2 linked regions of the Xenopus tropicalis genome follow. The protein of the gene in region 1 binds, or shares a complex with, the protein of each later gene. Links are inferred from orthologs where the notes say so. Each region holds a gene or a part of one and is shown in the gene's direction. Other genes may lie near its edges.

Evidence for each region. Proteins that work in one complex are often made in the same cells at the same time.
Region 2: ncoa6 (region 1) and kdm6a share a complex: the UniProt entries of both Homo sapiens proteins name them as parts of the MLL2/3 complex. The link is inferred for Xenopus tropicalis from reciprocal best matches to the Homo sapiens genes NCOA6 and KDM6A.

The regions. Positions count from the first base shown.
Region 1 is NC_030686.2:41,065,838-41,069,981, forward strand, and holds the start of ncoa6 (nuclear receptor coactivator 6), read left to right. Parts: upstream 1-1,208; 5' UTR 1,209-1,401; intron 1,402-3,166; 5' UTR 3,167-3,285; intron 3,286-3,385; 5' UTR 3,386-3,420; coding exon 3,421-3,646; intron 3,647-3,774; coding exon 3,775-3,930; intron 3,931-4,015; coding exon 4,016-4,135; intron 4,136-4,144. UniProt on the Homo sapiens protein: Nuclear receptor coactivator that directly binds nuclear receptors and stimulates the transcriptional activities in a hormone-dependent fashion. Coactivates expression in an agonist- and AF2-dependent manner.
Region 2 is NC_030678.2:55,786,436-55,790,093, reverse strand, and holds part of kdm6a (lysine-specific demethylase 6A), read left to right. Parts: coding exon of another isoform or gene 1-75; intron 76-330; coding exon 331-426; intron 427-1,835; coding exon 1,836-1,940; intron 1,941-2,584; coding exon 2,585-2,980; intron 2,981-3,658. UniProt on the Homo sapiens protein: Histone demethylase that specifically demethylates 'Lys-27' of histone H3, thereby playing a central role in histone code. Demethylates trimethylated and dimethylated but not monomethylated H3 'Lys-27'.

The DNA.
Region 1 (4,144 bases):
AACCCTACTATAGTTTATATAAATACCCCGCTGTGTAGCCCTGGGGGCAGCCATTCCTGCACTGGTACAGCTGGGGTGTTTGCTACAGAAACCCTACTATAGTTTATATAAATACCCCGCTGTGTAGCCCCGGGGGCAGCCATTCCTGCACTGGTACAGCTGGGGTGTTTGCTACAGAAACCCTACTATAGTTTATATAAATACCCCGCTGTGTAGCCCCGGGGGCAGCCATTCCTGCACTGGTACAGCTGGGGTGTTTGCTACAGAAACCCTACTATAGTTTATATAAATACCCCGCTGTGTAGCCCGGGGGCAGACATTCAAGCTGGAAAAAAGGAGAAAAGGCACAGGTTACATAGCGAATAACAGATAAGCTCTGTAGAATATAATGGGGCTTTATCTGTTATCTGCTATGAGCCTCTGCCTTTTCTCCTTTAGGGCTCTGGCACACGGGGAGATTAGTCGCCCGCGACAAATCTCCCTGTTCGCGGGCGACTAATCTCCCCGAGTTGCCATCCCACCGGCGAACATGTAAGTCGCCGGTGGCACACGCGGCGGCGCGATTTCGGCAAATGCAGTACATTATATCTTAATTATTTTTATACACTTTCATTTCTTGGTGTTACTGTTCCTTTAAGAGCTATAACTCTCAGCATTCCTTCATGCCGTTTGCTGGATCTATTAACCAGAAACCCATCTCTGGAATGTTTTACAACATGTGCTGTTTCACACAGAGCCCTATGGTTGCAAAAATGTTTCAATAATTTTTCTCTCTGAAATAATAAAGCAGAACAATAAACTTCAAAGAAAATAATCTGCATAAATCCATTTTGGTGGTTTTTTTTAAAAAAAAATGTCTTTTTTAGCAGCCTTAAAAAAAAAACCACCAGAAAGGACCCTTATCCATAAAAGCCAACTTCCCAAGCCTGAAGGCTGTATTAGCAGAACATCCCAAGCGCTAAACTATAAAACATCCCTAAAGCTGTGGGACAGGTGTCTCTGTCCCTGTCATGGAGGTCAGACGGTGTCAGCATCCCCTCCACACTGAAACACTTCCTTTCATTGCGCACAACCTCGCCCATTTTCTGGCAAGTCCCGCCCACTTTCTGGCAAGCCGTAGCCCTGCCTAGCACGGAACTACCCCCGTACTCCTCTCCTGGGCTCAGCCGCACTGACGTCACGCCTCTCGCCAATCCATTGGTCGGGCGGACTCTACCATTTTGACAGGGGTGTACGCAAGCGCGGCTTCCTTGCAGTTTAGTGCTTATTGTGAGGTCAACACCCCCCTGCCGCTTGCAGCTAGTGGTACGGGCTGGGCCTCGTTGCTGTTCGTTGTTCCCGGGAGCGGAAGGAACCAAGTGTCCGGTGCGAGGTGAGGGGGGTGCACAATAATGAGAATGGGTATGTTTGTTATATGCATGCATAACTGGGCCTGTATGGCGAAATGTAAACATTGTAACTGTGCATTTGGTCTTATATCTGCCATTAACACCTATTCGTACCTACTGGGTAGCTGGAGTCCTATGCACTGCAAATGTCTGCTTGCATAATAGACAGTGTGTGTAATGAAGGCATTTTACTTACCCTTTAATGTTTCTTTATAGTGGGATTTAGGTACTGTGGGGCTGCACTAGCCCTTATGTTACAACCCTCTAGTGTAATTTATATTTGATATTGACATCCATCATATAGATATAGGCATTATGGTTGAACGTGATGGACGTATGTCTTTTTTCAACCCAACTTACTATGTTACTATCATTAGGGTGTGCTTATTTACAAGGACATATTTAACTGTAAGCCCCATCAGCATTGTGATATAAGTGAGATATAAGGACCCAGTGGCTTTATTAATGTCCCCCCTATCCTATCCTTTTCACCCTGTGGCTGGTGAGGGCTGCTGGGATATGCAGCAAAGGGTTGGGTGCTGTTTATAGGGCTAGAGCATCAGGCTTTACACCACATATTGCTTAATAAAGTGCTGCATAACGTGTTGGCGCTTTATAAGTAAATGATGATGATGTCTCCAGATCCATAGAAGTGGCAGGTATAGAAGGTCCCACCAATTTGCCTTCCCTCTTTCAGTGCTACGGGGGCTGTGAGTGACCAGTTATGGACTTGATAAGAAGGTAGGCAGCAGGCACATCTTTGCTAAACTATATAATAATGGTGCTTAGTTGTCACCCCTGTGTCATCAGGTAGATAATGACCCAGGCCTGGGTTTATTTAACCTTCTTCTCCTTTACAACAATGGCAAGTTTACAGATTTATGAAAACGTTCATCCTGCGATTGTTCCAAGAATGGCTAGGAACTTATGTTGCTCAACATCATGGTCTTCAAGGAATATCTAAGCCAATCATCATGCATCCCCAGTCTCACCCAAACTGCCCTTTAGGCTGGGCAAGGCAGGGGCTAATGTGATGAGCTGGTATAGTTACTGATGTACTGATATTAGGTTTTAGTTTGAGGATTTGGAAGAAGTCAAAGCATTAAGTATCTTAAAGAGGTGAAATATTAAATATAAGAAGGTTGCTAGGCTAGGGCTGGAGGGGGTCGATATGACAATAACGAGACACGACTAAGGCAAAGTTGATGCACTCTGAATTGTACAAGTATTTGAATTGCATTTATAAATATTTGTCATTTCAGTTCACATCCATAGCCAACAGCATATGCTTACGTACCAATGACTAGCATATGTTTAGCCAGTGATGTTGTAAGCTCAGAGTGCCTTCAGTGAAGGTCGTCCTATCCTCAGAATATACCAAAAAGTCTTTCCTTTTGTTTTTCTCCCAAATACCCTTGAGATAACTGGTTATCTGGACATGCATGCTATGATCTGCTTGTTTAGCGCTAACCCCATGGATATTTGTCCAAATCACATGATTAGTCTCCGCCTGGGTAATGTTGAGGCCTGTATAGACCTATTGGGAATGGACCAAGGTGGTCAGTTTTTTCAGCTAACCCAGTTAATATCTGTCTGTCTGGCCAAATTGCATAATACTCAGTGGCCATTGTTTAAACACTAAGGGCAGTGCAATTTACAGCTGAGATGGAAGGGGGAAGCAATTAGCCCTCCATAGACTTTTGTGGTTATCACCAGTGAAGGGGGGGGTAAATTTTTTTCTTCACTCGTATCTAAGTTATTTATAATTTTCTCAACAGGCTAACAAATTGGAGATCCTGGTAGTGGAAATAACTGAAGATGCCTGCCTCTGCCATTCATCTGACAAAATCAGACGGTGTAGAAACGTAGGAAAAGGGAAGAACTTGGAACATTATTGGTAAGGGAACTGCAAATCCAGGTTGTACGTTTGTACATTTATTTTTTATAGATATGAGCTCTGACATTTTGTGTGTTGTGTTTTTTTGACTCCTCAACAGAGTGTCATTGTCACAGAGTTGGAAGACACACGGTCATGGCCTCCCACTACCTTCCTGACCCAGGAGAGCCCCAGACCAGACCTCCTGCGTCCCCTTCACAACCGCAAGATGGAGACACCGACTCCGGAATAGAAGATGAGCTCAGATTAGAAGAAGCAGACTCTACCATTTTCTTGGCTTTCAAGGGAGATATTGGAGACACTGATTTCCAGCAAAAGCTAGACAAGATTTTGAATACTGTTCCAAGCCTCGTTAGCATGGGTATAGTAATCAACTTATTCAGGGGCATGGGGGGTGGGGGGGGCAAATACATGATCTCCCTGGGTTTCCCTGTGCTAGTCGGTAACATGCAAACAAACTCATTCAAATTGCATGTCCTCCCTGTGTAGAGTCCGACCAGCTGAGAGTTCAGAAGGTGGAGCCATGGAACAGCGTCAGGGTAACGTTCAACATCCCAAGGGAAGCGGCTGAGCGGCTGCGCCTCCTCGCTCAGAGTAACAACCAGCAACTACGGGACCTAGGAATTCTGTCTGTCCAAATTGAAGGTATAACCGTATTGCTTCTGCCCTTGTTTTTTGTCTTTTTATAATTGGTCCTTTGCATATTTCCTTACGCTGAAATATATTTTAGGGGAAGGTGCAATAAACCTCGCCTTGCCCCATCGGGCACAGGACATACGGATGAATGGTCCAGTGGCAGCAAACAGTGCTATGAGACTAGATGGCAATTTTGCAATGCAAGGCGGAACGGGTAGGTCAG
Region 2 (3,658 bases), on another chromosome or scaffold:
CACATGATTCCTTCTAGCCAGGTAGATGAACTGTCAAGTCCTGCCAAGAGGAAAAGAACATCTAGTCCAGCAAAGGTATTTCACATGCCAAAAATGTATGTGGCCCATGCTGTTATTTATTTATTTTTTTTAAACCATCCACTTCATTTAAGTTAATTACATGTAAAATGAAGGAAAGTTCGCTCAAATAATTTTTCATATGAATGTGCTTAAGTATTGCACCAAATATTTGAAGAACATAGATTGTTTTGCCTGTAACATATTGCAGTTGGAATACAGTTTAAAAGTGTTCTATTATCAAGAGTTCTCAATAATTTCTTTTTTCAATAGAATACTTCTGATACCTGGAGCAGTGGCCATTTGGCGTCACATACTCCAGGACAGCAACAAGTACATTCGTGGTGTTTGCCGCCACACAAAGTACAGGTATGAATAGTCCTATGCTGTTTCTGTCTCTCTCTTGGTTGTTTTAGTTTTGAATTAAGCACTGAAAGTAATGCAATATCCAAACAACTGTTTGTTTTTTGGGGGAGGTTAAGATATTTTATTGGCTTTGATGAAAATCAAACAATCTTCATTAGCATCATCTTCTGACCTACATTTGGGTTTACATAACAAGAAACTAGAGAAGGCATTGGTTGAAAGTGACACTCCCAAAACCAAAGTTTCTATATTATGCCAGGTAACCTTTGCCCTAACCTTTGCCCTACAATAAGCACTTTTCTGCTCCTATATTGTCATGGTAAGATCCTTGTAAATATTTGCAATTTTAAAGTGGAAATGTGGGCATATTTTAATGTAATTATAAAATGTCAACATATTATTCAGTGCTGTAAAATAAAATGGTGTATATATTGAACATACTGGTCACACACTGATAAGCAATACAAGGGGTTAAGGCTAATTGTACACAGGTTTTTTTCTTTGCTGGTGTGTAGATATGTGTTGGCACAAAAGTGCATTTTGTTTTTTTTTTGTTTTTTTGCATTACTGTGCTAAAATCCATTCTAAATAAGTGCTCAAGCATGGGGTGAGCATGGGGTATTGACAGTGCACTTAAAAGCATGTAGTGTATACTGAAGCTATATTAGGCTAGATGAGGTACATTTCCAGCTTTGGTTAAAGTTTTTGGGGGATATAAACTGCAAGACCATCTGAGCATGAATGTCGGCTTAAGGGTCAACTTTTATAGACAATCCTGTGGTCCTGTGGCTTACAGATGACCAGTCCGTGTTTTGTTGCAGTCAGATGAGGAAGTGAAGACGAGCCAAAATATGTAGTAAATGTATTTTCTATTGTAAAATATAAGGATGTTATAAGTCAGAAGTTCCCCCTAATTTCTTGGCTGTGTGGACAAAAAATGTATGCACACAGAAATGGGTGGGTTAGAGCTAGAACTAAATATTTTTAAGCAAAAAAATCTATGGGTGCATCACTATTTGCTGTCAGGGTCGCTGCATTCTAGCAACCAAAAAGTAATGTGTATGAGATTACAATTTCATTAATTTATTTAAATCCCTATCATATTTCTGTCTTATTGGTAGGGTAATTCAGCTAATAGCAACCGAATAGCAGTTTACATTTAAAGCCTGAAAACACAAACACATTTTTTATTAAAATTCTAAAAAAATAATGCTTAAAACCAATGTTTACTACCCTGTGTATCTAAACTTATCTTCACACCAGTTGATCTTTTAGACCTCAGGATGTTTGAAAATAGTTTTTATGGAATACTTATAGTAAACATATTACAATATAGTATTGATTTAAAGATTAGCATTTCACGTGCAGATTTTGTGTCTTACACCATGTAAAATTAACTTATCTGATTTTAGCAATTGGAACAGCTACGAGCAAACAGGAATAATCTGAATCCAGCACAAAAAGCGGCGTTGGAGCAGTTGGAGGCTCAGTTTGTCTTAATGCAGCAGCAACAGCAGGTAGATGCTTCTGTACTCAAATAATGCAGATCTGCAGATTTCTACTGCAGCTGTATTTTCCAAAGTTTTTGCATTCAACACCTTGGTCCCTCTGAGGCCCAGCATTTAGTTAGTGCCTGCTTGACTCCTCTCAAAGTTAGATATTTGAAAATATAAGTGGTTTTGTCATACTGCTATAGTGCTGTCAGTATCTATTTAAAGGGTTTACTCGATATTCCACCCTGTCAGGCCTTTAGGATCTAGGTCTAATTTTAGTCTGGATTTTGGCAAAAATTTTGGCACCCTAAATGACCAGCCCCACAGTTTGCAAATCTATAATGGAGGTCTATACAGTTTTTTGTAATTACAATGCCATGTATAATTGCATAAAATATATTTTTAGGATTTGACAGAATAGTATTTTCCTTTGCCTTATCTAATCCTTAACTTATTCCATTATTCTTAAGTATTTCAACCATACGAAACTGGCATTTAAGCCATTAGATTTATTTACCACAGTTATCACTAAAAGGATTACAAATGTGTTGCACTCATACAGCACTTTATTTCAGTAGTGACTTTTAGGTTTACTTACTGATTAGAGGAATTTATTTCCATTTGCCTAAATGATCATCATCATATTTTTTTATATTTTTTTCTAACAGATGAGACAAACTGGACTTTCACAGGTACGTTCTACTGGAATTGCTAACGGGCCAACTGCTGACTCAACACTGCCTACAAACTCACTCACTGGTCAGCAACATCAGGTTGCATTAACCAGGATGCCTAATGCCGCTCAGCCTGGAATCCGTCCGGCTTGCCCTGCGCAGCCTGTGGCTAATGGACCATTTCCAGTAGGCCAAGTTTCCTGCAGTACCACAGGGCCAGTGGGCAGTGCAGACACTATGTTGATAGGCAATAATCATATTACGGGAAATGGAAGTAATGGAAATGTGCCTTACCCGCAGCGAAACGCACTCGCACTACCTCATAACCGCACAAACCTGACCAGCAGCGCAGAGGAGCCGTGGAAAAACCAACTAACTAACTCCACTCAGGTAAGAGATCTTGAGCTTTCTGTACCTTGCAAGGAAATAAGCTTTCAGAATATTTCTAATGTAGTGCTTCAGTGGTATATTATTAAGCAGATGTAAAGTTCTGCCCATTATGTTAGACATCTGCTCACGCTAGCCTTTATAGATTGCGTCTTTGCCTAACTATATTACAAATATTTTTTATTTTGCATAGTCTATCCATTTTATCCAGTTTAATTTTTACACTGAACTGTTCCTTTAACTTTTGCTTTTCAGTCTACAGACAATAAATTATTATGAGAGAATTGTGTGTTCTATATAATCATTTCCTCACTGCATATTTGTTGGTGCGCAAGATTTTTTTTTGTTTGAGATTATGGAAAAATATTTCTAATACTTATACACGTGTGTAATTAACACTGTTCAGACAATACTAAAGATATGGAGGGCAAACCAGTTATGTGCTTAAAATTAGGTAATACTATTAAGGTCTAGCTGCACAGGTAATCTGTATTTCCTTAGACCCCAGTGGGGAAAACAGTACAAAACTTTATATTATAGATAAACCAATGTGCCCTGAATCAGTCTAAGTGGTATGTTTTTATCTGTACTTATTAATATTATGCACAGAAGTGTTGTTGAAATACCATGTAACCCTAACAAATACAAAAAAAAATTTGACTAATATTCAGGTGATAACTG